Oryctolagus cuniculus: one gene and its partners. The protein of the gene in region 1 interacts with the protein of each later gene in a pairwise test. Links are inferred from orthologs where the notes say so. Each region holds a gene or a part of one and is shown in the gene's direction. Other genes may lie near its edges.

What was found.
Region 2: the proteins of EP300 (region 1) and PPARA interact in a two-hybrid assay, tested with the Homo sapiens proteins (3 studies listed by BioGRID). The link is inferred for Oryctolagus cuniculus from reciprocal best matches to the Homo sapiens genes EP300 and PPARA.
Region 3: the proteins of EP300 (region 1) and signal transducer and activator of transcription 5A interact in a two-hybrid assay, tested with the Homo sapiens proteins (2 studies listed by BioGRID and IntAct). The link is inferred for Oryctolagus cuniculus from reciprocal best matches to the Homo sapiens genes EP300 and STAT5A.
Region 4: the proteins of EP300 (region 1) and GRB2 interact in a two-hybrid assay, tested with the Homo sapiens proteins (2 studies listed by BioGRID and IntAct). The link is inferred for Oryctolagus cuniculus from reciprocal best matches to the Homo sapiens genes EP300 and GRB2.

The regions. Positions count from the first base shown.
Region 1 is NC_091442.1:117,217,555-117,224,962, forward strand, and holds part of EP300 (histone acetyltransferase p300), read left to right. Parts: intron 1-1,151; coding exon 1,152-1,269; intron 1,270-1,919; coding exon 1,920-2,091; intron 2,092-2,920; coding exon 2,921-2,998; intron 2,999-3,119; coding exon 3,120-3,229; intron 3,230-4,618; coding exon 4,619-4,756; intron 4,757-5,095; coding exon 5,096-5,530; intron 5,531-7,006; coding exon 7,007-7,186; intron 7,187-7,408. UniProt on the Homo sapiens protein: Functions as a histone acetyltransferase and regulates transcription via chromatin remodeling. Acetylates all four core histones in nucleosomes. Histone acetylation gives an epigenetic tag for transcriptional activation.
Region 2 is NC_091442.1:120,672,874-120,681,062, forward strand, and holds the start of PPARA (peroxisome proliferator-activated receptor alpha), read left to right. Parts: upstream 1-3,773; 5' UTR 3,774-3,928; intron 3,929-3,936; exon of another isoform or gene 3,937-4,291; intron 4,292-4,935; 5' UTR 4,936-5,006; exon of another isoform or gene 5,007-5,040; intron 5,041-8,189. UniProt on the Homo sapiens protein: Ligand-activated transcription factor. Key regulator of lipid metabolism. Activated by the endogenous ligand 1-palmitoyl-2-oleoyl-sn-glycerol-3-phosphocholine (16:0/18:1-GPC). Activated by oleylethanolamide, a naturally occurring lipid that regulates satiety.
Region 3 is NC_091448.1:20,520,360-20,528,451, reverse strand, and holds the start of signal transducer and activator of transcription 5A, read left to right. Parts: upstream 1-3,627; 5' UTR 3,628-3,725; intron 3,726-4,457; 5' UTR 4,458-4,467; coding exon 4,468-4,595; intron 4,596-4,892; coding exon 4,893-5,049; intron 5,050-6,026; coding exon 6,027-6,116; intron 6,117-8,092. UniProt on the Homo sapiens protein: Carries out a dual function: signal transduction and activation of transcription. Mediates cellular responses to the cytokine KITLG/SCF and other growth factors. Mediates cellular responses to ERBB4.
Region 4 is NC_091448.1:5,229,134-5,236,106, forward strand, and holds the end of GRB2 (growth factor receptor-bound protein 2), read left to right. Parts: intron 1-2,891; coding exon 2,892-3,060; intron 3,061-3,560; coding exon 3,561-3,746; 3' UTR 3,747-4,095; downstream 4,096-6,973. UniProt on the Homo sapiens protein: Non-enzymatic adapter protein that plays a pivotal role in precisely regulated signaling cascades from cell surface receptors to cellular responses, including signaling transduction and gene expression.

The DNA.
Region 1 (7,408 bases):
ATGGCCCAAGTGTTTGGGCCCTGCACCCGCATGGGAGACCAAGAGAAGCACCTGGCTCCTGACTCCTGACTCCACTGCCGATTTACTCCCCAGAGTTCACAGGGACAGAGCTGGGCTTAGGGTCAGAGCCAGGAACTGTGAACATGAATTCTAGCCCATCACAGGGGTGACAGGATCCTAATTACCCGAGCCATCACCACTGGCTCCTAGGGCCAGTATTGGCAAGAAGCTGTATGTGAAACCCTGATAACGCCTGTGGTGGACATGAGTTATCTGCACTATTCTAAATGCCTTCTCTCACATTTGTCATTGTTGCAAATTATAGAAGTTGTTAGACTGTTAACCTTGAATCTAGCAAAATCATGATTTCTTCTAAGTACTAACCAGGCCCAACCCTGCTTAGCTTCTGAGATCAGAAGAGTGGATACGTTTAAGGTGGTATGGCCAGAGAGGCATTTCTAGTCCCTTTGCTTCAAGTTATTGTTCTTTACAATTTTGGGTGGCAGCATTGTGGTGCAATGGGTTAAGCTGCCACCTGCAACACTGACATCGCCAATCAGAATACTGATTCAGGTCCCAGCTGCTGGCTTCTCTGCTTCCTATTCAGTTCCCTGCTAATGCGCCTTGGAAAGCAGCGGAGACGCTTCAAGTACTTGGGTCCCTGCCACCTATGTGGGAGACCCGGATGGAGCGCCTGGCTTCAGCCTGGCACAGTCCTATTTGTGGCCCTTTGGTGTGTGTACCAGAGAATGGAAGACTTCTGTCTCTCCCTCTGTTTTTGTCGTTCTGTTTTCCAGTAAGTAAAATAAGTCTTTAAGAAAATTTTTGGAGGCTTAGTTGTTACTTTTAAAAGTTGAATAAATTTATGTAGCACAGAATAATTTTTTCTATACATCTAGAGTAACAGGGACCAAAGAATATCTTCATGGAGTTACTTTTTAGATTGTGATCAGGAAAATCCTTTATCACAAGAAGACAGTTTTCATTTTTGGTGTTGACTTGTCACCCTCTGTTACTTTTCTTGTACTCATTGTATCCAGTGTGTAGAATTGGGAAAACACTAATTGAGAAATCGTTTAAAGTAGTATACATTTCTATGATTGAATGTGAAGCTGGCATTGTATTACAGTGGTTGCATTTTCCATTCCTAGAGTTCAAGCCATATTTCCCACTCCGGATCCTGCTGCTTTAAAGGACAGACGGATGGAAAACCTGGTGGCATATGCTCGGAAGGTAGAAGGGGACATGTACGAATCTGCAAATAATCGAGTGAGCATCTGGTTGTTCTTTACATGTTGATGGTCAGGAATGGGTCTGCTTTAGATACTTAATTACCCCTCATGGTTACTCTTCATCCCTAGCACATGTAAGCAGCATTTTCCAGCTGTCCTCTCTCACTGTCTCTGCGTATAGTTAGCAGTTTCTTAGGTGATTGTTATCAAAAACCTTGGGTTTTTCCCCTTACTTCAGTGCAGTTCTATGGCACTTCATCTGGGTTGTCCTTCCGTCAAATCAGAAAGTAGCAGAGCTGTTGTTACCAGCCCGGTGCTGTTTTCACTCGAATATAGTACATAAAGAATATTTTAGTTTCTGTACATCATTTTAACTTTCTTTTCTAAATTGGCATTACTTCAAAATGTAACATGTTCTTTCCATGTTCTGTAAATTGACAACATATGTTTTATAAAACCTGCTTTGAAAGAGGTCTCATTTTAATGTGTAGGTTCCTAGTAAAACTGATGATCACTTGATTATTCTATAAATATGAGCTCATATTTGGAAAATGGATTAATTTCTTCCCATTTTTAGTTTCTACCTATTGTTTAAATGAAACTAATATCTGCCTTTGATTTAGTTTTTCTGTTTTCTGGTGGTAATTCATGTTTTGTCCTTATCTGTTATTTCAAAAATCCAAAAAGGCGGAATACTACCACCTTCTAGCTGAGAAGATCTATAAGATACAAAAAGAATTAGAAGAAAAACGAAGGACTAGATTACAGAAACAGAACATGCTTCCAAATGCAGGCATGGTGCCAGTTTCTATGAATCCAGGGCCTAACATGGGACAGCCACAACCAGGAATGACTTCTAGTAAGTGCTTTTTGTTATATTTATGTTGGGGAGAAATTGATAATGAAGTGATTTCTAACCAAATCCATCAATTTGTACAAAGTTGTGTTAACTGTTAATAGGGTTTTTGAAAGGCCTTTTGTCTTTGCAAAGAAAACAGGTCATCCTCTGCCTTAAAGAGTAAGCACTACTTACACAGCCCACTGTAGACATGCCTGATAGTGACACGTAGGAAGGGGTTGCACGTAGATTTTCCCTAGTTGTCTCTAACACCGTCTGTGTAGAAAGCAGCCAGTAGATGGATGTAGGCTGACTAGGGTCCAGTGTGCAACAGAGGCTCACATACTTCCTTAGTGATCACCTTAATCTATGACTTGAAAAGTGGCAGAGCAGAGAGAACATGAATCAAACAGGAGAAATACAGGGAAAGAATCGAACAGACACATCCTCAGGCTGAAGGATGAAATGGTTGTTGGAGACTGTGCAGAAACTTCACGCTGGATGGACTGTGCTATTGGTGTGAGTGTAAATGCTGGTTTGTTCCCTTAAATGCATAGATTCGGTCTAGGTCTGTCATGTAGGTACAGGGGTCTAAGCACTTGGGCCCTCTTCCACTGCCCTCCCAGGTGCATTAGCAGGGAGCTGAATTGGAAGTGGAGCAGCCAGATCTCAAACCAGTGCCTATATGGGATGTCAGTGTCACAGGTGGCGGCTTTACTCACTACGCCGCAACACCGGTTCCCCAAGTGGCATCTAAACTACTACACAAAACACCTGCCCATATTTTGTTTTCCAGTAAAGGGCAGCCAATGCAGGGACTTCCTTAATTTATTTCTCTTTTCTGCCCTAGATGGTCCTCTCCCTGACCCAACTATGATCCGCGGCAGTGTGCCAAACCAGATGATGCCTCGGATAACACCACCATCTGGTAAATTTTATAACCGGGAAGAATGAGTTACTAGTTTTGATAAATGGTGACCAGATAGAGGAATAGTGCCTCTTATTCTCCAGAAGGGTGCTGAGATTTTATACTCTGCATGTATTCATAGGTTTGAATCAATTTGGCCAGATGAGTATGCCCCAGCCCCCTATTGGACCCCGGCAAACCTCTCCACTTCAGCACCATGGACAGTTGGCTCAGCCTGGAGCTCTAAACCCGGTTGGTTTGATTTCTTTATGTAATCTGTTTGGATTTTATAGGGGTTTTCTAAAAATTCTTGTTTTTGCTTCAAGAACAAAACTTCTCATACTTGCCTAGACACAAAATACAAGAGCTTGTTGTTACATTTTAATTGTTGTATTTTGCCCTTAATATAGATGATTATATGTATTTCAGAGATGAGACTAAATAGTTGCATTATGTTAAAGAGGTGGAGTGACAGGAATAATTATTACTAATGGGAAACAAATGCTGAAATCTCTTCTGCTTATCTCTTTCACTTAACAATAGTTAGAAATCCCACAGAAATAATTACTAAGGGACTTGGTGATGCAGTCTGAGGAAAGGGTGTTACAGTGTGCGAGGATATAATGTGATGGAAGTTCATGTGAAGAAGAGTAGAGTGTCTTGATTACAAACAAGTCAGTCTGTGTAAAATAAACACTAAAAAAGGCTCACATCCAAGCAAATACTATTCATAGTTGTAAAAATCATAGCATTAGAAAGTTGACAAAAAGCAGCCAGTACCCTCTCTTTGGAGTCCGCATGTCCAGTAGCCTCCCCACTTTTTTTCAGTTTACCTCTCCTCCATAATAATTACCTTCTCTTCCAGGCAGTGAACTGTGGATCTTTGATAAGAGCAATGGGGGAGCCATTGCCTGGTTCTAGAGACTGAAGTGGAGATGCTGAGCATACCCGGACTCTTAACCGACATTGGCCCAGCCCTCACCCTGTCCTGCTAGTTACCTGGCACCTCTGTTTCTTGAGCCTTTTTAGGGTTTTGCAGCATTGATACTTTTCACAGCTGGCAACATTCAGCAAGGAATCCTAGTTCTCATGTTAATCTATAAGGCAGATGCATTTCTTTAACTGGTTGAGATTTTTGCTTTTGGTAATCCAGATTTCCATCATCTGTTAAAGGAAACAATCCAAGAGCAATTGTGGGCCATGAATGGTGCTAGATTCAGCCACGTCCTGTAAGGGTTTTACTTTTCTTTTCCCACACATGGAATCTGAAAATTTTTACTGTTGCCATGCCACTTACAGTGAGCAAAGAGCCCAGGATGTTGTGCTTTGGTCCTTCACTTAACTTAGAGTGTTCAAAGAAATGGCTAGCTCTTTTCCTGTTAGTTCCAGATAGAGCGCTGTGTGTCCCCATCCTCCTGTAACTTAGAGAAGCCATGACATGAGACCATCCCCATGGTCTAGGCGTAAAAGTCAGTTCTTCACCACTTTTCTCCTCTCTCTCCCTGCCCCTCCCTTTACCTGTTTTCCTTTCTTCTCTTTCTCTGCCCAGTCAACCTGACAGCAGGGCCAAATTAATGGATGATTCCAATTGTGATAGAAGAATCGTAATGAAGCAGTTTGGTACTTTGTGTTTTTTTGCAGCCTATGGGCTATGGGCCTCGCATGCAGCCGCCTACCAGCCAGAGCCAGTTTCTTCCACAGTCTCAGTTCTCATCACAGGGAATGAATGTAGCAAATATGCCTTTGGCTCCACCCAGCGGTCAAGTACCAGTGTCTCAAGTATGTCTCACAAGGGGACCTTTGCCCTTATGGGGATGGGGGAGGGGGAGGGGATTTGTGAATCTTCTGTTAGGTTTTTGCCCGGAAGAGTGGCAGCAAATAGTGGGTGATGTTTAAAAATATGAACACTTTTGGATTTAGGGTATTCTGGATATGAAGAGATAATTATGTGTATAACAATGGCTTTGTTAAAAAAGTAACACATAATTTAAATTTGAGGGTTTTAACCCTGTGTTGTTATTTTACATTTAATTAGTTTGTGTCCTAAATGCCTATCTGCCTATGTAAATTTTCCTTCATTCTGTTTGAATTATCATCTTAATGACTTCATTTTAACAGGCACAAATATCTGGTTCTTCCTGCCCAGTAAACTCGCCTATAATGCCTCCAGGATCTCAAGGAAGCCACATGCACTGTCCCCCTCTGGCACAACCCCCTCTGCATCAGAATTCACCATCTCCTGTACCTAGTCGTACCCCGACCCCTCACCACACTCCTCCAAGCATAGGGGCCCAGCAGCCACCAGCAGCAGGGATCCCAGCCCCTGTCCCTACACCTCCTGCCATGCCGGCCGGGCCACAGCCCCAGGCTCTGCACCCTCCTCCGAGACAGACACCTACTCCGCCCACAACACAGCTGCCTCCCCAAGTGCAGCCGTCGCTCCCTGCTGCTCCTCCAGCCGACCAGCCCCAGCAGCCCCGCTCTCAGCAGAGTACAGCAGCCTCGGTCCCCACCCCGACGGTGCCACTGCTGCCTCCGCAGCCCGCCACTCCGGTAAGCGGAGGTTTGCATTTCAGTGGAACGGTTTCAGCGCTAATGTAATATTGTGTTACTTTTGTGCCATTTTTGATTCCATGATTCATCTCTTACTGTTGTCTCCATAAGTGGAATGGAATGTTTGATTAAGAACATTGCCCCCCCTACTCTTACTGCCTTCGATAGTACTTAACGTAGTAGGAACTCAAAGATTTTGTTTAGGTCTTTCATTATTGTATGCCATGTAGTATTCTGGGGCCTAAAAGCATAGAGCATAGCAAGAGGTAAGAGGCCCCTCTTGCTTCCTTAGTGTGACAGTTAGTGTACCTCCTGAATTTAACATATATTTAAAAACCCTTTTCTAACGTTTTAAGGTTCAGTACTCAAAGATTGAATCTCTGGCCCTAACAAAGGTTAACAAAGTCATGGTAAAGAGACAAGAAATACAGACCTAAATCTCTACAGCTTCCTTGTGAGAGGCTGATTATGTGTAGAGTAAAAATCTAAATTCCTGTCTAGTAGTTGAATCCTTAAAAATTGAACCTGTGTATTGTTAACAGGCTAGGATGTTCTTTCTACCTTGATCGTTGATGCTATATATTTTTTTGAGATTTATTTTATTTATTTGAAAGGCAATGTTAGAGAGATCTTCCATCTGCTGGTTCTCTCCATATGGCTGTAACAGCCAGGGCTGAGCCAGGCCAAAGCCAGAAACCAGGAGCTGCTTTCAGGTCTCCCATGTGGGTGCAGGGGCCCAAGCACGTGGATCATATTCTGCTTGTCCAGGCACATTAGCAGGGAGGTGGATCAGAAGGGGAGCAGGGGAGTCTCGAACTGGTGCTCCTATGGGATGCCAGCATCCTAGCAGCAGCTTTACTCACTCTAAATCACAGTGCTGGCCCCGAAACTGATCTTTTAGTTTGTTCACAGAGAGACCAAGTCACATCTAGCTGTGGGCCCCTCTGATCCACAAGGAATGGCAGCCTGCAGAGAGGAGTCTGAAGCCCAGTTATTTTGTTATTTATGGGATTGCTCCAGAAAACACTGCCTTGCTATGTAGTTTCTTGCTGGAAGATGCAGGGAATAGATGTGGATTGCCAGTAACCCTGTCACAGTGTAATGATTGAGAGTACCAACTCTGTAGAGGAGTTCAGCATATTTGTCCTCTGCTTTTCTGCAAGGACAGATTGAAGAGCAAACGAGACAGCTTGTCATTCTTATGTTCTTTTAGTTTCCATGTCTCTTTAAATAGGAGCTTCTCGGAGAGAAGCACCTGTGACATTTCCTCTGCTCACACACTGCCCAGAATTGATGATGACTAACGAAACCATCGCTGGCGGCTTCGGTCTCAGCTGGCTGGCCAGTATTGAAAAGTCCTCAAGTATAATTAAGGAAGGTGCAGTGTACAGAGAGAAATGACACTAGTCCCCCAGTATGTGGTTTATTCTGAATATGTTGTTGGCAAATCTGTCCTGTTTCCCTGTTTCTGCCCAGCTTTCCCAGCCGACTGTGAGCATTGAAGGGCAAGCGTCAAACCCTCCCAGCACGAGCAGTGCAGAGGTGAACGCTCAGGCTGTCCCTGAGAAGCAGCCTGCACAGGAAGTAAAGGTGGAGGCTAAGATGGAGGTGGACCAGCCAGAACCAGCAGCTGTTCCACCAGAGGATGTCCCAGAGGTGAGGACAGGGCCGCTGCTCCCAGGGTTTGCATAGGACCCCAGCTGGGGAGCCTAAGTTTTAAAAATCAGTGTTTGAGAAAAGCATTTTGATAATTAGGTCTCGGTGCATTGATTTCATGTGAGAAAGGTTGTTAAGATAGGTCCATGGGGCGAATAAAGGATGTGATGACAGTGATCTTACTGCTCCCCAATTGGATACCTTTGGAATACTAAAAATATC
Region 2 (8,189 bases), about 3.5 Mb from region 1:
CTGGAGCCTAAGCCGGCTGGCATGGAGCAGTGTCCACCCCCAGCAGGGCTCGTCTCCCGGGAGGGGCAGGAAGGCCGTGTCGCTGTGGCTGGGCCCCGACCTCCTCAGGAAGGTGAGTTGGCTGCTGGTCCACGTTGAGCTGAGGGTTATTCATGAAGGGGGAGGAGCCTCCGTGACGGCAGCAGTTTCTGGGCCCGCAGAAGGTTCTGGGTCCTGCACACCAAGAGTGCGTAGTTTCACCCGGGTGACAACCACTGGTTAACACGCGTGACTTCTGTGTTACCAAGCTGATGGGGTCAGGCCCTGGCTTAAAACCCTTCATACTGGGGCCAGCACCGTGACGCAGTAGGTTAATCCTCCGCCTGCAGCGCCGACATCCCATATGGGCACCGGTTCGAGTCTCGGCTGCTCCACTTCCCATCCAGCTCTCTGCCACGGCCTGGGAAAACAGTGGAAGATGGCGCAAGTCCTTGGGCCCCTGTGCCAACACGGGAGACCCAGAAGAAGCTCCTGGCTCCTGGCTTCAGATCAGCTCAGCTCCAGCCATTGCGGCCATTCGGGGAGTGAACCAATGGAAGGAAGACCTTTCTCTCTGTCTCTGTCTCTCTCTCACTGTCTGTAACTCTCAAATAAATAAAATCTTAAAAAACCCGTCATACTGAGCCAGCCTCTCCACCAGGCCGCAAGCCCCACCCCGCCAGTCCACCCTGCCAGTCCACCCTGCCAGTCCACCCCGCCAGTCCACCCTGCCTCCTGCTACAGCTTCTGCACATGCTGCCTCGCCGTGGGACTCTGGTTCTGCCAGAGGCTGAGCCATGCACAGGCGCCCCAGGGGCAGGCACTGTAGACGGAGTTCTCTGTCCCCTTGTGAGGTGTTGTCCATCCTGGACACTGGTTTCCTCTCCTGCAAGACGGAGGCAAACCCAGCTGAGGTCCAAGCCTTAACGGGATGATCACTGGCCACCTGGCCCCGGGAGGTTTCCATCAGTACTAGGCCGGCGGCTGAGTCCAGGCCCAGCCACCAAGCACCTACTGGTCACTGTTAGGAGACCCCCCACCCCGACCTGAGGGCACACTTCCAAGTGACCAGAGGCCACTGCCCCGACCCATGACACTGGCTGCACAAACTCCAACTGGACAGGAGGCTCTGCAGATCAGCAAAGGGCAATCCAGTGACCCTCGGAGGCCCGGGGCAGTTCCTGGAAAAGTGCTTACCTAAGTGACAGGGTAATCAGCCGGCAGCCAGGACCCCTGGCCCGCGGGGCACACTTCACTCGAGCAGATGGAGCCCTCGCGCTCTCTCTGAACTCGGACGCCTCACTCCACCTGCTGCTGGTACGGAGCAGCAGGCCCCATCACTGCAGCTCCCCGCTCCTCGTCTGCATGGCCCAACTTCCTGCTTCTCTCCCGGAGCCCACAGCTGCTCTGGCTGGGTGGGCAGCTCTGGGGTGCAGGAGCGTCTCAGCAGGGCAGCTGAGGGCCTCTCAGACCTGCCTTCTGTCCCGGGGCCTGAAGCTGGCCCACAGGACCGGTCAGCTGGGGCCTCTCTCTCGACAGTCTCCTTACTGTAACGTGAGCAGGTTAAAACCCACCTCTGGGGACATCTTCAGAGTGGGAGACGTGGCAAGGGACCCGAGACGGCATGGAAGCCATGAAGTCGGAGTCACGCACCCCGAGCCCTCCAGAGAGGAGCCTGGGCGGTGCCCAGAGACATTCTCCAAAGCACTGGTTGCCCCCGATGCTGTAGATTTGTACTCAGTCCCCACGCGGGCGGCGTTATGTGCTGTCCACGTCCGGTCAACGCTGGTGGAGGCAAAGACAGAGGGACGGGCCGACTCCAGGGGCTCGGGCCGCAGCGCTGCCCTGTGTGACAGGTCACCCCCATGCTGGGGGTGTGACAAGTGACAAGCTCCTGGCTGCACACAAAAGGCTGATTCTGAAGGGGGTGGGGGCATCCCGGAAGTGACCCCCGCAGGAAGCAGGGCCAGAGCTTTGTCTGGCCGGGACACTCCACGAGAAAAGTCCCCAGCTTCCCTCTACCTTCAGGACGCCGGCGGAGGTTGGCCGAGAGCCTTGGTTCAAAAGTGGCATATCTACCACCAAAGTGCTGGCATCCCATATGGGCGCCGGTTCGAATCCTGGTTGCTCCACTTCCAATCCAGCTCCCTGCTAATGCGCCTGGGAAGGCAGTGAAGATGGCCCAACTGCTTGGGCTCCTGCACCCATGTGGGAGACCCGGAGAAAGCCCCCGACTCCTGGCTTCGGCCCAGCCTCTGATGTTGCGGCCATTTAGGGAGTCAACCAGTGGATGGAAGATATCTATCTTGAGCTCTCTGCAACTCTTTCAAATAAATAAAATAAATCTTAATAAGAGAAGTGACATCTCCCAACGCATGGTTCACAAACAAGTTTTCTCTCCTAAAGCTTTGGGAACCCCGAGAACCCAAGAATATCACTTTCTACATCTGTGGAGTGCGCACCTGGGAGATTGAAGCCCGTATGTCCTTTGCAGGCATCCATAATTCTTGCCAGGTCTCTCCCACCACTTGGTGGCACTGGGTGCAGGGCGACCACCAGGACACACACACACACACACACACACCCCTGTCTTGAGACTCTGCGCCCTGGGGTGAGCCAGGAAACACCCACGCGGCCAGGATGTGGCCCACCGAGGGCAGGAAGCCCACCTGCTGCTGGGTAACCAACACAGCTTGGGTCCACCGGGGAGCTACCAGGGTCTGTGTTCAGCCCGGCTCTGGAAGGCGCACAGACTGGCATTTGCTGGCCGGCGTGCGCAGGTAGAGTTGGGCAGGCCCGATCGAGCGTGGGTGTCCAGGGGGTGGGGCAGAGTTCACAGCAGTCCCAGCTAACCGACAGGAGTGACTTTCCAAGAAGCTTGCGAAATGGCCCCAAGGCCAGGGTCTGCAGCCCCTGCGCGGCGCGGTGACCTGGGTGGAAGCCGCGCCCGCTCACTTACGAGGTCACCCCGGGAGCCCGCCGCCGCGGCGCTGGGCGGACATTGCACAAGTTTCGTTCCCGCGGCAAGGGGCGCCGGGCGCTGCGCACCCGGAGCGGCTCTGCGCGCTGTCCCCTCAGCCTCGCCACTGGCTGCGGGGCCGCGACCTCCCAGTGCGCTGGCAGGGCCCGCGCGCCTCGCTGGGCACAAAGTCCTCTCTCACCCCCAGGGAACCGGCAGCCGGGGCGGGGGTCGGAGCTGGCGGCGCCTCCCCGCCCTGTCCCCGTTGCCCTTCACACTCGTGCCCACGGCCTGGCACCTCCGCCACCTGCTGACGCGTCCTGGGGCTCTCGGAACGCCCTTCCCCGTCCTCCCGCCCCGCACCCCACGGACTCCCGAGACCCTAGGCACCGGTCCCCGGGCCCTGGCCAAGACCCCCTCGTCGCGCCGTGCGGAGCCGAGTTCCGCGAGCGCTCAGGGCCTCGCCAGCGCGGCACGGGCGCCCGGCGGGACCCTCGCCTCCCCTTCCCCGCCCCCCACGCCAGCCATCCGCGGGGCGACCTTGGGCAGTCCCTTTGCCTCCCGGGCCTCAGTTTCCCCCAGCTCCGCGGCTGCGGGGCGCGCAGTGGGAGTCGCGAGGGCTGTCCCGGCCCCGCCCCCGCCGGCGGCCAATCGGGCGCCGCCGTCCGGTGGGTGCGTCCCGCGCGGGGCCGCGGCCGGGGCCCGGGGCGGGGCTTCCGGGTCGGTCCCGCGCGGCCGGACCGGGCGGGGCGCGCCGAGGGGCGGCGCGTGGCGCGGGCGGGGCGCGGCTGGCACGGGCGGGCGGAGGCGGCGCCGGGCAGGGCCGGGACGCGGCGGCCCCACGGCGCGGGCAAGGGGCGGCGGGGCGGAGGCGGCCGCTAGCGCCCGGCCTGGCGCCGCCTCCCTCGGCGCTCGCCCCGCGGACCAGCAGGCGGCGGACCGCGGGCCCAGGTGCCGGGGGTGGGCGGCGCGAGCGGGGTCCGCGGCGCGGGCCGGGCCGGGCCTCTGCTGCCCCGGGCCGAGAGGGCGGCGGACGCGGACGGGAGGGGCCGGGCGGCGCATGCGCATGGCCCGGGGGCGCGGGGCGAGGGCACTCGCCGGGGACCCGAGTAGGGTCCCGGGACCAGGGGCCGCTCTCGCTCGGTGCCCCTCCAAGCGCCCGAGGCTGTCGGCGGAGCCGGAGACCTCCTGACGCTGGGTCCTTCGGTGTCCCCTGGGAGGCCAGGCCCGCGGCGGGGACGTCGGTGCGCTGTGGAGTTCGAGTGTCACAGAGCTGGGGGCGTTTTCGAGACCCCCAGGGACCCCCGAGGCTAGGTAACTCGTGTCCCGGACAGACTCTCGGCGCCGGTGCGCGCCGTCCTGCAGCCCGACGGGGACACGCGCGCGCGGTTGCTGTCGCGCGCCTGGGCCCCTGTGCGCCGGGCGCCGTGGGCAGCCGCGGGTTCCCCGGCAGGTTCCGCTGGGCTGCGAGGTGTCTTTCCTGTCCCCGGCCTCCCGCGGCTCCTCGGGACCGGTCCGGCCTGGCCCGCTGGAGCGGGTGCAAGGTTGGGAAGGGGGGGTCGGCTCTACCCAGCGCCCACCCTGGTTGGTGGGGGGACCATGGCACGCCCCCACGTTACCCAAACCCCTGTTTAAAAAAAAGTTGAAGAGATGTGCCCCAAATGTCAGGGTTCTTTCTAAGAAAACTCCAGGACTGGGCAGTAGGTGGAGCGCTCTCGGCCGGCTGGGTCTGCACAGGCACCGCGACCCCTGCCACCCCCATTCCCAAGGGAATCAGGGCGCCCCCCGCCCCGCCCCCGCTCGCAGGGCTGCTGGCTGGTAGGGAGGAGGAGCACGGGGCTTCACTGAGAACGACCCTGGGCGAAGGCAGGGTCACCGTGACTTTCCCCTTGCAAGGGCCGGAGGCTGGGGGGCATCCAGGGAACACATTGTAACCGTCTCGTCCTGTCCCTCCTCAGCCAGGGCTGGAGTCCCGGGCCCTGCCTCTGGGAGAAGTGACAAGCTCAGAAGCAAGGCGGTGTCACCGAAGGTAAACAGAGTTTGATTTCAGTCTCCAGGGTGAGGTATGGAAGGGTCTGTTTCCACTGCAGTAAGTTTGGGGGTTAATGGTTTCTTTGTGATGCAAAGCTTTCATGTCTTTTCCCTGTGTCCCAGGAGACCCCGGGATAGGTTTGCTTCTGGGTTCTGAGTTGGGGAGTTCTGATGTGGGTTTGGCTGGCTGCTTTCCTGTGATTCATAGGGAGATGCGGTGACTCTGAGAAGCAGTGCTACTCAGCGGGCGCTGGGGAAGGGCTGTTGTCGTGTGGGGAGACTGCAGGTGACCTGGGGGTCGGGGTCAGCTCCAGAGCCGCAGGCCCGGTGTGGGAGGGTGTGCGTGGTCGCTGCCCACCCGCAGCGGTCTCCAGGACTGGGAGCAGAAGCACGGGAACTGACGGTGGAGGAGGAGGTTTTCTGTTTGCTCAAGTCTGACACGCCTGACCAAGGTCCACCAGCATCATAAAGCAGCCCCTTGCGTGCGTGCGTGTGAGAGACAAGGTGTGAGAGACAAGGAGAAACTGTGTTTCTTGGCAAATACTTTGTGGCTGCTTCATCCCCGGACGCAGCTTCCAGGTGAATGAAATGCGCCTGCATTTGTCTAATACTCCATTACATTTAGATACAATAATTATTTAGCCGGTCCCTGTAGAGACAAGGCTACTTCAGAAAGTTTGTGGAAAGCCGAAACTGAGAAGATGTGAAACGTGTGCGTGGTTTGCTCATAATGGGCATTTTCCACGCACTCTTGGAAAGCCTTTCATATGCACAGATTTCAGACTTTTCTTTTTGTAAAGTGAACTTTTAATTCCGCTTTCCACAGACTTTTAAAATCGGCTCATCATATAGCTACTTCCGGAGTGGCTGCTGTGGGCTACTGTGCCCAGTGTTGAACGAGACCCCCGCGGACCTCTGGTGAAACTGGGTTCCATACTAGAGTATAGACAAAAGCTCACAGATTGTCACCCTTGGTCAGGGTGAGGGGCAGGTGGGCAGGGAGGGGACATTTTGGCAGGGCTGCTTTGTGCGTTGGGTTGGCGGTTGGTGACCTGGGCCCTTTCTCTTGCCTGCTGCCCGTAAGCGCCTGTGTTTTATATATATGTATATGTATACGTGTGTGTGTATACATACATATATATATACATGGATTTATAATAATCCTTTTAAAAACACATTAATCACAATGTTTCTTTGTTGAAAACAAAGTTTGAACATGCCAATTTTTCTCTTTTGCCTTTCATAGACTGTGTGTGAGTGGGGAAATTCTTCATGGCAAATGGGATGCGTGGCTTCGCTTCCAGGTGGCTGGGGTCTTAGCTTCACGGCATGCTAAGGGTGTGGCCCTGCAGTTAGTGCAAGTGGCCTGAGGCTGCTCTCTTGGAATGTGAGGGTCTCTGTTGCGCTTTCTGGTTTCCGTGGCTTGGGATGGAGTCAGTGTTTCACAAGGCATGGCATCTGTCCCTTCAGCCTTATTAGTTACGTAGGGGAGCGAGGTCACCTTGCAGGCCGCGTGGCTGGGGAAACCCCAGCTCAGAATCTGATTTTCCAGTTTGGTGAGAGGAAGGCTTGAAGTGAGGACTAAGTAGCAGAGGTGGCGGATCGGAAAGAACTTGTCTCCTCCACGTGTCAGAGTCGTTGGCCTGCCCTGAGCTGCGCCGTGCGCTGGATAATCCAGTCTGTTCCATGGCCAACAGGCAGTCCCCCAGGCTGGCAGTGTGTCCTCTACTTCTGCCCCACGTGTGGCCACGTTCTGGGACTTGGAAGAGGAGCTCGTGCAGCCCTTGCGCTGGCCGGGGGTGCCCTGGTGTGGTGATCTTGGTAGTTGAGCTGCATTTGATTGGATGGTATAGGATGAGGTCTTTGAAAGGTCTGGTGTGGGGGCCAGCACCGCAGCTCACTAGGCTAATCCTCCACCTGCGGCGCCGGCACACTGGGTTCTAGTCCCGGTCGGGGCGCCGGATTCTGTCCCGGTTGCCCCTCTTCCAGTCCAGCTCTCTGCTGTGGCCCGGGAGTGCAGTGGAGGATGGCCCAGGTGCTTGGGCCCTGCACCCCATGGGAGACCAGGAGGAAGCACCTGGCTCCTGGCTTTGGATCAGCGCGGTGCACCAGCCGCAGTGCGCTGGCCACAGCAGCCACTGGAGGGTGAACCAACGGAAAAAGGAAGACCTTTCTCTCTGTCTCTCTCTCTCACTGTCCACTCTGCCAGTCAAAAAAATAAAAAATAAAAAAAAAGAAAGGTCTGGTGTGGGCAAGAGGAGGCAGTTTGGGGCTAGGCATTGTTAGGACGTGAGTGGCGAGCTCTGGGTTTTAGCCCCTTTGCTGTTCCAGCCCGGCGGGAGGCCTCCGTGCACTTCCTCAAACCGTTATTTTCTCCCCCAGAAAATGGAGTTCCTGCACACGCTGCAGGTGTCGTGGGGACGCAGACCTGCTCCATCGCCTGCCTCCCTCGCCCAGCCAGGTCCACCCGCCCGGTTCCTCCGCCCTGGCCATTCTGTGACCTTTCACACTCTTGCCCTCAGACATACCCAAAACTTGTCGAGTCCCCCGCCAATCGCACCCAAACCGTGCCGAGTGCTTCCAGTTGGTTTTGAACGTGAGGATTTGGTGGTGGCACATTTTGCCTGTGTCCCCATGCCACCGTCTGCCCCTCCTCCGCAGGGCGTCTGCTGAAGTCCGGGCTTGGTGAATCTGCCTGCACTCAGACCTGCGCGTGGAGCCATGGCTGAGTGCTGCCCTGCCTTGGGGCTCCTCGTGGGCCCGGCTTTCCACCCTGGGTCCGCCTCGCCGGGGGAGGGTGTGTCTTGGTCACTTCTGCCCCACTTGCCCTGCTTTTGTAGCTGGCAGCTTACCCCCGTCCCTTAGCGACAGGGCTCCCACACCTCCAGCTTCTGTGGCTTCCTTGGGGCAAGAGCGGTTCTTCTGAGGCCTGGGCAGGTGTCCCCACTGGGCACCACTGGGGCCGCCATTGCAATGGTGTTGGGAAAGCGGTGGTTGCGGTAGAAACGATTTTATTGGTAACTAAGTTTGGCAAATATTATGCATTAAATAGACTTCCAACGAGATGGCCTGAGGATCTGTTGAAATAAAATGTCGTTGGCCGGCGCCGCAGCTCAGTAGGCTAATCCTCCGCCTTGCAGCGCCGGCACACCGGGTTCTAGTCCCGGTCGGGGCGCCGGAT
Region 3 (8,092 bases), on another chromosome or scaffold:
TGCAGGCTGTGTCTTCCTGGCCAAGGATGGGGGCAGCACCCCTGCAGGGGTACGCTAGGGCGAGGGGACCATAGCAGTGGTAGGGTAGACACTGAGCATGGGCAGGGGCCCACTTCTAGGGGTGGGGGCTGGTGTGGAGGGGGGAGATCTGAACGGAGGCCAGTGGGGGCCAAGCAGGATGTTTAAGGGCCCCAGGGCTCCAGCTCTCCCTTGCCCACGCCAGGGCACAGAGCTACTTCCTGTAATACCCCCAGCTTTCTAGGCAGGCGCTACCTGGCTCCCACCTCCCCTCTGGCTCTCACGCCACAGGAACTCTCCTTGAAGAAGGCACTTGGAGCACAAGAAACAAAGGCATCTCTGTACCCCTCCCCCACCTCCTGGGCTGGTCAGGTCAAGGTGACCTCAGGCTGCTCTCCCAAGCCTACAGGCATTGGCAGGACCTTCTTGGCTAACCTGGTCTCCACGGGCAAGGGAGAAAGGGGACATGGGATCATTCTTCCCTTCCTCCACCAGGTGGAACACACCTTCCCGTCACACATAGGCCATACTGCCTCCATCAACAGGGCAGGGCACGGGCTGTTGTGGGGAGCAGGGGTGCCACGCTCCGTACTGGGGAGCAATTGTGGGCCCGCCCAGCTGAGGGAGACCTCTTCACTCTGCAGGAGTGTTCTGGGGATAAGTCTGGAAAGGCTGCATTAAGACTGTGGGGCTGGGCAACTGGGCTCCCAGCGGCAGCTGTGTACTTACTGGACAGAAGCTTGGGCAGGCCTCCTTCCTTGACTAACCAAAGGTGACAAGCCCGGCCCTACCTGCCTCCGAGGCAAGCATCGGTGGAGTTGGACAGCACAACCCTGTTCGTACACGAATGCGCCATGATCTGGCTCAGGATGCTGACCTAACCACAGCCTGTGCTGTGGACTGCACTCTGTAAAATATGGTCGTTCTTATTAGGGAATGCACAGAGGGCTGCAACGGCCAGCGCTGCGCCCATCCAAAGCCAGGAGCCTCTTCTAGGTCTCCCACACAGGTGCAGGTACCCAAGGACCTGGGCCATCCTCCACTGTTCTCCCAGGCCATAGCAGAGAGTTGGCTAGGAAGTGGGGCAGCTGGGACTAGAACCGGAGCCCATGCCACAGCACTGGCCCCTCATGTGAGGTTTTAAAAGAACTCTTCCCCCTCCCCACCTAATGATGCAACTCGGAATTAGGGGTGAAGGGCAAGGAAGCCAGCAGAGGACCCCGGCTCAGTCCAGACCATAGACAGCTTCTGGTCTCCCAGAACCCTCTCCCCTAGGCCTCAGTTTTCTCTCTTCTATAGCCTGGTCCCCTAAAACCACTAGGTGCTTTGTGGTGGGAAATAGCAGAGACCAAACCAGGGGACTGAAAGCAAAAAGAAACCCCAAATTTGACATTTCCGGGTACTTGTGTTATCCAGAGCCCCGACCACAGTCACCTCTGCCCCCAACCCAACTCTGACACCCTTCACACCTCCACTCATGGGGCAGCTTCTGCCTATCCTGGGAAAAATCCAGAGCTCCTTCCCTCCCCGCTGCACCTCAAAGGGAGGACAGAAAACCAGAGAGCAACAGAGCAACGGGTGGGGGGCAGCAGTCAACGAGTGATAAGGGGCTGTGGGGCCCAACAGACCTAATGAGGAGCGAGGGGAGAGGCCGGCTGGGCACTGCATGCAAGCAGAGGCTGGGGGCACCCCAGGGCTCTGCAGACACGGATTCATGCCCTTTTAGGGCAACCCCTCCAGTTCTGTTTGCTGGCACCTCAATGCTAGCTTTTCGGGACCTGGGCCTCCCACACCCTAGCCAAGCCCAACCCAGCCAGATGTTTGGTAGGTGGGGCTGCCAGCTGGAGCAGCAGGCCCTTGCAGGCCCTGCGGGAGGAGTCGGGAGGGGCGGCTGCCTGGAAGGGCCCAGGCGGGGTTCCCACAATCCCCCTTCCTAGGTGCCCAGATGTGAGTGCTCCGGCCCCAGCTCAGAGGACTTGGAAACCCAAGGACTCTGTTCCCATCCACTTGCAGGGCAAGGCTGGAGGGCACAGGTGCCAGTGGGTTTGAATCTGCCCTTGACAGGCTGCGTGCTACTGGTCAAGTTCACTTTCCCTCTGTGGCCTTTGTTCCTTTGTTTCCCCTTTGTACAATCATCTTCGTGGTCACTTCTAGCTCTACCCCCTGACTCTCATCGCAGGTAAGGACCTTCCCCTGCAAAATCCACTGTGCAGAGCAGGAGGGGAGGAGTGGACTCCTGCGCCCTAGTCCCCAGGGCCCCCCTGTGGAACAACTGGGAAGCAAGGTTTCCCTTAATCCTTCAGGCACCCGCTCAGTTTTCAATTCCTTTCCTTGTGATTCTGCCAACGAAGACGCTTTGACCACACGTGGAAGACGGGGAGAGCCCAGACATTCTAACTTCTGCAGAAAAACTTCACATTTTCTCTGAACTGAAAAGAATGAAACTGGGGGAGGTAGTGGGGTGCAGGAAGGGGGAGTGGAAGCAGGGGATGGAGAGGAAAGGGCAGATCCAAGAGGGATGGGGAGGGCGGAGGCAGATGGGAACTGCCCCAGGCCACCAGATCATGGCCCTGCTGAGCTAAGAGTGGGCAGCCAGGCTGGCCCCTCCTTGAGTGCTGCCAGTACCAGCTGCCAGGCTGAGGGGAGGCCCCAGGGAGAGCGAAACCGGGCAAAGGGGCTGGAAGGCGTCCAGGCCGGCCTTACCCAACCCCTGGGGCCTTGTGTGTGGGGACGCTCGGGGAGGGGCACTGTGAATCCCGCCATGGCTCTAAGGAGGATGTCTCAGCTGTGGCAAGGCCCACAGGCAGCTGTAAGGCTCCAAGGATTTAAAACAGGCCCTCCCCAGATCTCTCTGGAGGTAGGGCCAGCCTCAGATGTGATCCAGTTGGGGTGAATGCCGGGCCCGGTGGGTCCATGGGTCACGGTGGGCTGACTGGCAAACCCCTCCCCTGCTCCCCCCAACCCCCCAGAATTGCATTCACCTGCAGAACTGAAGCAAACCCACTGCCAAGGTTCTTTCCTGGCCAGCCTTGTGGTGGGAGTAGTGGGAGGGAGCGCAGCGGTGAGCTTGGCTTCTCTGGAATCCCCCCTACACAGTCCTTTCCCTCCCTAGGACTTCACGTCTGAGATCACAAAAGCTGTGGCAACCCACATCATCTCTCAGTCTCTCTCTCTCTCAGCCTCTCCACCTCCCATAGGCTCAAAAGATGGCACACGCCAGAGTGGGGAGGCATCTCCAGCTCGCCCGTCCTTCCCTCCTCCCCTTTCACAGATGAGAAAACCGAGGCCTTGGTCTGGGATTTCCAGAGCTTGGGATTTCCCGGCCCTGAGCCTGTCGCCGGCTACAGTCCCGGGACACTCCCGCGAGTCGCAGGCACACGCTGTCTGGGACTCCCTGGGGGTCCCGCCGTCGGGGCAGCCCCCACGTCCGGCGCCACCCCGCCGCGCCGCTGCTGCGCACTCGCCGGGAGCCGGCGGCCGAGGGCGGAGGCTGGGAGGCCGCGCCAGCGGCGGGGAGGGTGTTGGCGAGCGCCCGCGCGCTGTGTTTGGTCTATCGCAGGCAGCTGACCTTTGAGGAGGAAATCGCTGCTCTCGGCTCCTTCCTGTAGTAACAGCCGCCGCCGCCGCCGCCGCCGGGAGCCCGGGCCGCGAGCGAGAGCCGCGGGGCGCACAGCCGGCCCCGCCGCCTCACAGCTCGGCCCCACCAGGTGGGTGCCGCGCGGCGGGGCCCGGGCGCCTCGGAGCCCGACGGCCGCGGGCGGGACGGGGACCGGCCCCCGGCGCCGAAAGCCAGTTTGGGCGCAATGCGTGGTGCTCACGGGGGTCGGGGGTCGAGGGACGAGGGACAAGGAGGAAGGGAGGCGGCCGTCGTCCTCACGCTCGGGGGAGGGGGCGCCGTCGGGCGCGACCAGGGTGATGGCAGAGCGCGGCTGCGGGGCGCCCCGGGAGGGGAGCCTGTGTCGTTCCAGCTCTTTCTGCTCAAGTCCAGCCATGTGCCCCAGGGCGCCAACCGTAGGGTGGCAGCCCAAGCTGCCTCGCCTTGACTTTGGCTTGAAACATCCCCTGCTCCCTGAAATGGGGTGTCTGGGTGCGCGGCTGGTGGGGGGTATTCGTGCAGACCCTGCAGAGGGCGGTGGGCCTCGGCCGTCAAGTTTCTCTTTCAGTTTCCCATGGGGCTAGGGGAGAGGAAGAGGAAGGGCACTTGCCTCTCTCGGGGACCCCCCTCCTCCCGCCCCCAGCCTCATTGGGTTCCTTGTTGGAGAGGAGGGGCAGCCCTCTCCTCCCCACCATCTCTCTTTCCGCACAGGAAAGCCTGCTAGTGGGAGGAGCGGGGCCTGGCCCCGACTGCAGCCCAGGGACAGGTGGGCACGGTAGGGCCAGGGGCAGGCCCGGCCGGCCTCTGTGGAGGAGAAGGCTCTTGAGTGGTCTCCTGGTTCTAGGCGAGCGGCCATGGCGGGCTGGATTCAGGCCCAGCAGCTGCAGGGAGACGCGCTGCGCCAGATGCAGGTGCTCTATGGCCAGCACTTCCCCATCGAGGTCCGGCACTACCTGGCACAGTGGATCGAGAGCCAGCCGTGGTAGGTGCCCCTTGCCCGGGCCTCCCCCTGCGGGGTCCTAACCCCCTGGCTTGGAGATCTCCTCCGTGTGCTTCGGTGCCACGCTGGTCCTCCCTGCCCTCCTCTGTGTGGAAGGGGCGGTGTCCCTGGGAAAGGGGAACAGGGAAACGGGCGTCTGGAGGGGACAGAGGCTGCGTGCAGCCTCCTGTGCCTGTGGAGGTGCGGGCAGCAAGTCTCGTGGGCTCGCGTCACGTGGTGCCTGAGCTCCTGGCTCGAGGAGTTGCCACAGTGGATTTCTGTCCCCCGCCCTGCCCCAAGGGATGCCATCGACCTGGACAGCCCCCAGGACCGAGCCCAGGCCGCCCAGCTCCTGGAGGGCCTGGTGCAAGAGCTGCAGAAGAAGGCGGAGCATCAGGTGGGGGAAGATGGGTTTTTACTGAAGATCAAGCTGGGCCACTACGCCACCCAGCTCCAGGTGGGTGTGAACGCTGGGCCACCTACAGGGAGGAAGCAGAACCCCCCGGGGTTTTTTTCCTGGTCTGGCCACTGACTCACCGCATGACCATGAGCTCCTGGGCAACTTTTCTTCAATTTCCCCCACCCCCTCTTTCTAAGTCAGACCTGCCGGATTCCTTTAACCTTCCAGAAAGTACTGGATGAGGTGGGGGTGGGGGTTTTTGTTCCCGACAGAGGGAGGTGGGCGAGCCAGCATGGTGGACGGATTAAAGCAGGTGGCATGGAGGTAGACTGAGGCAGGATTCTTTTCTTGGAGGAAGGAAGGTTGGGGCACTCTAGAGATGAGTGGCTGCGTGCCCGTTGGGACTCTGCTGAAGCTGGAGTGGGGAGGAGGAGGATGGAAGAGCTGTGTGAAGTGGGGTTTCTCCTTTCCGTGGGGTGGCATGGCGGGGCGGGGGTACAGAGGAAGCGCGGAGTTTGTATGAAGCAGGAAAGGGGTGTGGGTGGTGATCACGGTCAAGCCCTTCTCAACCACAGGCAGCGGGGACCGGGCACCAAAAAGTCCTTCTCCAAGAGGGAGGAGTCGGGAGAAACCCGAGGGGAAGCAAAATAGGAACCGAGGGGCAGGAGTATGGCGGCAAGGCCCTCGGCCTCGTATCGGATGTGTGAGGCTCGAGTCACCTGCCCCTGAACTCGTTCGCCTCTGGACAAGCACGTGACCTCTCTGGGCATCCGTGTTCCCCTGGGCGACGCAGGGATAAGGGGTTTCCACGCTGGGAGAGTGGAAGTGCTGTGTGGACGGCGGGCGTTGAGTTCACTGCAGACCCAGTGTGAAGATGGGGGAGGGGCCCTGAGTAACAGAGACAGAGACATCTGATGATGGTTTCTGAGGCTTCCTGGGAGAAGCCCAGGCAGGGGCTGAAGCAGAGGAAGGGTGAGCCTGGCCCGGGGCCGGTATGGCTGGAACTGAGGGCAGATGCTCTTGGATTCTCCCAGAACACGTACGACCGCTGCCCCATGGAGCTGGTCCGCTGCATCCGGCACATTCTGTACAACGAACAGAGGCTGGTCCGGGAAGCCAACAATGTGAGTGTCGCCTGGGGGTGGGGGAGGAGCTGGGGGGTCTTCCCTGTGACTTTCTCCCCAGACCCAACTGTGTTGATATCAAACAGTGGCATAGGACAGCACCGAAGAAATAAGAGGCGCGGGCAAGCACGAGAGGTGGTATTGCATGCCGGTGTGGGGTGGCCACATGGCTCTGCCACTTACCAGCTTACCAGCTGTGTGACTTGAGCAAGTTGCTGTACCTCTCTGAGCCTCCCATTTTTCTATTGTAAAACCGGGGTAATAAAAGTACCTGCTCTATAGGGCTAGTGTGAGGGTTAAGTTAGATACTATGTAGGCCAAGGATAAACACTCCCCCATCCTCCTACACACAATCACCCCCCCCACACACGTATACACACACAAATACATACACCACATACACATATACACCCCCACACATGTATATATCCCCCATGCACATGTATACACACACGAATACATCCCCCATACGCATTACATATATACACCCACGCACATACATACACCCCCACACACAAATACATCCTCCCCATACACACCTCCACCTCCACACATTTATGCACATCCCACACACATACACACACATACATTGTCGCTCCCCCTCTTCGTGGAGGAGCAACACTGAACCCTGCCTAGGCTTCATATCCGAGTCACGGCACCATTATGTCGCTCCCCCTCTTCATGGAGGAGCGACACTGAACCCTGCCTAGGCTTCATATCCGAGTCACGGCACCATTATGTCGCTCCCCCTCTTCGTGGAGGAACGACACAGGACCCTGCGCTGTTCTTTCGTCTGCTCGGCCCTCCCCGGGTTTGCTGCTGGTTCTTCCCGGGTTGGCTACTATCCCTTCCACCTCCGTGGAAGGGCAGTTCCCCCTGGCCACATTCCCCACTTCCGCAGGGGAGCGGCACACCGCCGGCCGGCTCTCTGGGGGCTGCACAGGTGTTCCCCTTAGATGTTCCAGGTGCATGCCGTCTCTCTCCTCCTTTATAGTCCTCCTCCGCCAATCCTAACTCGGCTGCCCACACGCCGAGTACGCTGCTCTCCAATCAGGAGCAAGTCCTACAGTTTATTGGTTGAACTGAAGGCAGCTGGGTAGAAGCTGTTTTCTCCTCTCCCAGCGCCATATTGTAGGAGAGCAGATGCATAGAATAAGTCTTAATTCCAGTAACAGTCTAGTCCGAGCTGCTCCCCACAGAGGAGAGCAGATGCATAGAATAAGTCTTAATTCCAGTAACTTAGTCTAGTCCGAGCTGCTCCCCACAATACATCCCCCACGCAACACACCCCACACACATATACACACATGAATACATCCCCCCACATATAGCCCCCACACGTGTGTACACCCCCACACATGTGTACACAGAAGCTTACACAGTCTCACACTCTTCACATACACGCACACACATACTCACTGAAACCCCATCTGTGTCCGAGGTGCCGTCACAAATCACCAGGGAAAAGGGTTTGGCGTTCACTGAGTGGCTCTGGGTCCTAAATGGGGACTGCAGGCTGGCCGTGTCTGGGAGGACAGCCTGGGTGGCACAGGGGGCAGGCCTGAGGGCGGGGCAGTGCTCATCGCACACTCTGAGAGCAGAGTGTACAGAGGCTTTTTTTTGTTTGTTTGTTTGTTTTAAGATTGATTTATTTGAAAGGCAGAGCCATGGGAAAAGGGTGAGAAAGAGAGCGCTTCCATCCACTGGTTTGCTCCCCAAATGGCTGCAATGGCCAACACCGGGCCAGGCCGAAGCCGGGAGCCAGGAGTTCCACCTGGATCTCCCAACACGGGTGCAGGGCCCCAAGCACCGGGACCATCTTCTGTTACTTTCCCAGGCGCATTAGCAGCGAACTGAGTCGGGAGCGAAGCAGCCAGGACTGGAACCGGCACTCTGATTTGGGATGCAGGCATTGCAGGCAGCAGTGACTCAGCTCCTGCCTGGCCACACCAACCCCTGTGTAATGAAGGCCTGGG
Region 4 (6,973 bases), on another chromosome or scaffold:
ATTTTTAACATGAGGGTAAGAGAATAATTTACAAATGATATAAAGCACGAGACTTTAAAAGAGAACTTAGTATTTTGGTTTAAGATTAATGTGTGGTTAAAGTATAGATTTTTTTTTTAACAGCAGATTTAAATATAGAGATGTGTCTTTTTTAAAATGTGAATTAGGACCCATGATTGTGGGTATTTGTTTGTTTGATTGTTTTCCATTTTATTTGAAAGACAGAGACCAAAAGAGATCCCCCCTTCTGGTTCACTCCCCAAATGCCTGCAACAGCTGGGGCTGGGCCAAGCTGAAGCCAGGATCCCAGACTCCATCCAGGTCTCACGTGGGTGACAGGGGCTCCTGTGAGTGAGCCGCCTCCGCTGCCTCCCAGGATCTGCGTGAGCAGGAGGCTGGAGTCGGAGCAGAGCTGGGGCTCAGACACTGATGTTTGTGCAGGCTTCTTAACCAAAGGCCTGTCCAGTAAGGACTCCTTGAAGGGCTTGATTGAACATCGCAAGTGAAGTTCTGCTGCAGAGCGTGGCCCGGGGAGGGGAGGGCGGTGGGGTCATCATCTGTGTGCATCTCGGTCCCTTGTGTTTTATGCTGACTGAGTATAAAGTAAACGTGCGACTAGGAATACAAGCAGTTGGTCATTGGCTGGTGGCCAGCACCTCCGGGCACTCAGTGTGGGACACTCCTGCCACAGACACCAAAACCCGCAGCACTCCCTTTTATCAAATTCTCTATTCATTGTCTGAGAAATAAAGTGTGAGACTGCCTGTGACAACAGAAAATGTGTCACCAAGGAGGCTCAAGAATCAACAGCCTCAGCAGTGTTTCTCTGGTTTTTAAGATGTTTTGAGTCAGTGATTCGAGCCCTTGTAGTTGGCAGAGTGCTCACCCGGGACCTTACGCACCTAAGAAACTGACCGCGTCCACCGCCAGCGAGTCCCCAGGGCCAGAGGTGCAGGACAGGCCCTTCTTCCAGAAGCCCTCTCACTAGCACTGCACCCCCCCACACACACCCCTCCCCCTCCTCTCTCCCCCGTGTGTGTGTGTGTTGTGTGTTGTGTGTGGGTGTGTGAGAAAGCAGTACAGCAGCCACCCCCATCCGCGGCTTCACGGTCCACAAGTGACTGTGGTCTAAAAATACTGATCGGGACATTCCAGGAACAAACAGTTCAGATTTTAAATGACTTTTATTTTTTTGTGGTTGTTGGTTGTTACAATTGTCTTGTGTATTGTTAGTTTACTATACCTAACTTACTAATTTAACTTTATCATAGAAGTGTGTGTGTGTGTGTGTGTGTGGTGTTTGCAAGAGAAAGCAGTATATATGCAGTTTGGTACTATCCACCGTCTCACGCATCCACTGGGGGTCTTAGAACCCCCCGCAGCACACACACACACACACACAAACCACACTATGGATAGTGGGGGAGGGAATGCCAGGGCCACTGGATTGTCTTCCCCCAACCCCACTTGGTATCCTGCACTCCGGCTTCCTTGAAGCCCAGTCCTGCCACCTGCTGGCTGTTTTTGGAAAGTGTTGGCTTCTTTAGGCTTTAATACTGAAGGAGGGCCTTTGACGTTAAAATTATCTATTTACTTATTTGAAAGAGTTGCAGAGAAAAAGAGAAATCGGCTGCAATGGCCAGCACTAAGCCAGGCTGAAACCGGGAGCTTCCTCCCAGTCTGCCACGTGGGTGGCAGGGACCCAAGCACTGGGGCCTTCGTCTGCTGCTTTTCCTACGCCATTAGCATCCAGACTTGACCGTCGCTCGTATGGAATGCCAGCATTGCAGGCGAGGGCTTTACCTGTTATGGCGCAATACCGACCCAAAGGAGGGCTTTGAGGAACACGTGCTCACTGAGTCCTTGGAGGATTCAGCAGGGAACGGGACAGCAGGTGTCACTGGCAGCTCTGTGTTGCTGGCCAGCATTAAGGGGAGTGGATTTTCTGGCGATGGAGGGTGTGGGGACTTTGGTGCCTGGGCCTCTTTTGCTGTCCCAGTACATCCTTTTTCCCCCCACGGCCTTTATCCCGTGAGTAGAACTCAAATCCCCAAGTGGGAAATGACTGGAGTATTTCTGGTACCTGGAGCTTTGTTGAGCGTATCTGCTTCCTCACCTTATTTTCTATCCCACCTTTGAGATTTTAATTATTTTTGCTTGAAGCGTAGTTAATTAAGGTATATTCCTTGTCTTAAGTGAGGCTGATGTAGTTGGTACAGTGCAGGGCACAGCATGGGTTGGGACATTCCTTTTTTTTTTAAAGGTAATTTACATGAAGGGCAGAGTTGCAGAGACAGAGGAGATAAAGACAGAGAGCGGTAGGGGCGGCGGCGGGTGGGGGGGGTCTTCCATGCTCTGGTTACCTCCCCACATGGCCGCAATGACGAGGACTAGGCGGGTCTGAAGCCAGGATCCTCTTCCAGGTCTCCCACACGGCGGCAGGGGCCCCAGATATCGGACCATCTTCTGCTGCTTTCCCAGTTGCATTAGCAGGGAGCTGGGTCAGAAATGGAGCATCTGGGGCTTGAACTGACACCCGCATGGGATGCTGGTGCCACGGGCAGCGCCTCTGCGCAGTGTGCTGCAGCGCCGGCCTCATTCTCCATCCCATAAATGCCTGTAGAATTAGACCGAGTGGGGCCTGGCCTGTCCCGTGAGGGCTCTTTGTGTTGTTGCGGGTGACCGTCAGTCACGGTGAGGGTCTCGGCACGCTCAGCGGCCGTCCCACCCTCTCCAGCCAGGCTCAGTGGCGTGTAGCCAACCGGCCCGCAGGCTGTGAGGAGCGTTGCCAGACAGTGGCTTTCTCTGGACCCCTCCTGTTTGGCAGAGGGCCTCATGGGCCAGGCCAGAGCCCTTTGACCCACGTGCTGTGTTCTCTGCCCCACCCCCAGGTTTGGAAATGACGTGCAGCACTTCAAGGTGCTCCGAGACGGAGCGGGGAAGTATTTCCTCTGGGTGGTGAAGTTCAACTCCTTGAATGAGCTGGTGGATTACCACAGGTCGACGTCTGTCTCCAGAAACCAGCAGATATTCCTGCGGGACATAGAGCAGGTGCCGCAGGTAAGGCTGGGGCAGAGTCGGGCTCACCTCCAGCGGTTAGGAGCAGGTGCCTTTCAGAGGGTCACTTCCAGCCCCCGTGCTCAGGACATCACCCTTAGCTCACACAGAGGCCTGCGGTTTGCAGTCAGGTGTGTGGCTCGCTCACCACCTGTCTGTCAGCTATTCTGTCCCGGGAAGAAAACTGTGAGGGGTGTCCTGTAGGGAGGGTTGGGGCCTGTGCTCGCACCTGTGCGCCTGTCCCTGGCGGCCCAGCTGAGTCCACCACCTTATGTTTTCAAGCTCATCCAGATGTTTTGACTGCAAACCCTCGAGGGTGTTGGCAGCGACAGGAGCTCAGAGGTGTTGGATCCTGGGCTGTGCAGGAGCCCAGACTCCCAGGGGTGCTGACTATGCTGCTGACACGCCCTGGGGAGTGCAGCCCCCGAGCGTGGGTGCCCAGCGCAGGAAGGACTCCAGGCTCGGGGTGTCACACGCGTGTTTTCCCTGCTCCTCTTTTGCAGCAGCCGACGTACGTCCAGGCCCTCTTTGACTTTGACCCCCAGGAGGACGGAGAGCTGGGGTTCCGCCGGGGAGATTTCATCCATGTCATGGATAACTCTGACCCCAACTGGTGGAAGGGGGCTTGCCACGGGCAGACCGGCATGTTCCCCCGCAATTACGTCACCCCCGTGAACCGGAATGTCTAAGAATCAAGGGGAGGTTATTTAAAGCCGTGAAAAGTTGAAAACACGAAAGAATGACAGCCCCGGGCTGCCTCTCCCAGCAGCCTTGCAGGAGCCCGGACACCTGGCTGGGTCACCTCACGCCCGTGACTCTCTGACCTGGGTTGGAACTTCGGGGGGTGGGAGGGGGCATTGGATATAAAAATGCCAAAACTTACCTATTAAGAAAAGAGTTTTTATTACAGATTTTCACCGCTGCTCCTTTGCCCCGCCTTTGTCCTTTTTCTCGTCCTTTTTCTCCCGTTCTTCAGTGCATGACGTGTAAGGCCACGTATAGTCCTAGCTGATGCCAATAATAAAAGAAAAGAAACCACGTGCGCTGGTATCTTCTCTATGCAAAATGTCTGTTTAGTTGGAACAACTACTGCTGTGTTCTCCGTGCGTGCACACAGAAAGGAGCAGGCGGGCAGCTTCTGCCGGGTCAGGGTGGCGTCCGCGGGCCCAGCCTGGGGCTGTTCTGTCGGGGGTGGGAGGGAGGCGTGTCACCTGCCCCTCGGCTTCCTGAGAAAGTCGGACTGAAAGCCTCCGTCGCTGGCTCCACGTGGGAGCGGCGTCCCTGAGCATTGCTGTTTCCCATGGTGCCTTTCCCCATGTCCCGGGTTGCTTAGGAGGGATGTGTCTTACTTGTTTTGTTTTCAGATAAATTAAAGACAGTCCAAATTGGCCTTCCAGCCGGTTCGTCTCCCACTCTCTGTAAATCCTTTTCCCTCAGGGGAGGGGAAAGCAGGGTAGAGGGAGGAGACAGCGGAAGGCGGGGAGGGGGGCGTTCTACCCGTACCAAGCCAGAAGGCCAGGGTCTGAGGGAGCCGCCGGCCCTGGTGTGCCGGGGAAGGGCCGGCTGCAGCTCTACGGCGTCTGGCTGGATCTGAGTCCTTGCCTTGTGGTCCGGGTATTGTCTACCCTGCCGACCCCAGAGACCCCCGCTCAGACCCCTGGAGCCAGCAAGTCTCAGACACAGGAGAGCCAGTGGAGGAAGTGCTGTTAGGCTGCTGTTCTTGAGCTGCGGCAGGTGGGACTGTGGGCCTGCGTTAGGTTGCAGAAGGAGAGTATTTGTGTTTTTCTTGCTCCTGACATTAGGTCATGGCTCTCACCTTTTGTGTCCCCTCACCTGTCCAGGTGAGCAGCAGGGCAGTGTGCAAAAGCTGGGACACACTGTTCCTTGTCCCGTTCGCAGCAGGCCGGCCCCCAGCACCATCCCCACCCGGGGGGGGGGGGGGGGGGCGCTGGGAAGACAGAGGCTGGAGCCCCTCTAAGCTCTCCGTGTCAGCTCTCCGTCCCTTGTCGTTTGGGCTCGTGGGCTTTTCCTCCCCAGGACACGGACGAGGCTGCTGCTTTCCCTCCCTGGGAGTGCTGGTGGCCTTGGGCCTCTGTGACCCTTCAGTGGCATCTCCCCAGACTGTGGTGTGGAAACAGACTCAGCCTGCGGGTCCCGGAGGCCTGGAGGCCGCTGCTCCTGTGGACAGAGCATGTTCACGCCTCTCCTGGCTCCCGTCCGACTGCTCCCGCCCTCCCTCCCGCGTTGCTGATCAAAGGAACACCTGGCGTCCACACCTGGACCGTCTGATTGTTTTATTTTGGAGTTGGTGTATATCATGAAGCCTTGCTGAACTAAGTTTTGTGTGTATATATTTAAAAACAAATCCGTGTTTAACTAAAAAGACCTATGTACGTAATCCTGTAACTCTGCGGGTGGCACTTGGTAGGTAGTGATTAACTGTGAATAATAAACGTACAATGAATTCTTCATTCTGCTTCTTTTTGCTCCCCCTTGCTTCATTTTATGTAAAAATTTGGAAACTGCGTAAGGTGTAAGGTCAGGCAGTCGGGGCCTCTCGGGAGTGATGCCAGCCCTGTCACTGTGGCGTGGTGGGTTGAGCCTCCACCTGCCACGCCGGCATCCCAACTGGGCTGCTCCAGTTCTATCCAGCTCCCTGCTGATGGCCCAGGAAGCAGTGGAAGATGGCCCAAGTGCTTGGGCCCCTGCACCCGTGTAGCAGACCCAGAAAAAGCTCCTGGCTCCTGGCTTCGGATTGGCCCATCTCCTGCCGTTGCAGCCATTTGGGGAGTGAACGCGCAGATGGAAGACCTCTCGCTGTCCTCTGTAACTCTGCCTTTTCAAGTAAATAAATCTTTAAAAAAAAGATTTTGGGAAAGCTAGTTAACAGTGCAGACTCAGGACAGTTTGGTTGAGGTGCAGGGAGGAGTCCTTGGTGCTGCTGGTGTGGACAAGCCGCAGGCCACCCTCAAGAAGCCGGCGTAGAGCGACAGAGAGCTCGGCTGTTGGTTCTGCACTTCCTCTCTGTTGAAGGAGAGGACGGACACCTGGGAGGAAGGGGCTCCCAGCAGCTCGGCCTGAGACGTGCCTCCCCGCAGGCTGCTCAGGGTGAGGCCTGTTGGACCACACGAAGCTCTGCCTACAGTAGACCAGACAGACATGAAAAAGAAATCCAAGGAATTTCTGCAAGTGTTCTCATCTAGTTTGGGTTTTTTGTTCGTTCTTGTTTTTTTGTTGTTGTTGTTTTGTTTTTAAGCTATTTGAGAGGCAAAGAGCTTCCATCTGCTTGTCCACTCCCCGAATGCCCCAACAGCCAGGGCTGGCCAGGCCAAGGGCAGCAAGCGGAAACTCCCTGGCGGGTCTCCCGTGGGAGGAACAGGAACTTGCCCTGGAGCCATCGTCTGCTTTCCGGGTTGTGCATCAGGAAGCTGGAGTGGCGGCTGAGCGGCTGCGACTGGAACCAGCACCTCCAAGGAGGAGTGGGGCTGCTCCTGCACCACCACGCCGCCCGCCTCTGGTTCCTGAGCGAACCTCAGGCGCCACCCAGATGGCTCCGCTGCTGGGCGCTAGAGCCACTGCCCCCCCTGCCCTACAGAAACGTCTGAGGAAGCTGCCAGCCCCTCGGCCCTCTGGGCTGCCGTGAAGCTGAGAGGAGGTCCCCCCATTAAGTGACAACACGGTGTTGTCACTGCGCTGTATCTTGAGACCTCTTGCTCGGTCTCTCCCTGTCGAGTGCGTTAGGTGAACAGGGAAATTGTCATTTGGTCGCAGAGTTCTTGGGGACTGGATGCCCTCCTCATGGATCCGTAATTCCTGGGAAGGAACCTGGAGTCTCCCACATCCCCCAGCATTCCCCTGGCTGCATGTTGAGCCTTGGAATAGCTCCGTGGGGGGGGGGGGGGGGGCAGGTGGCCTG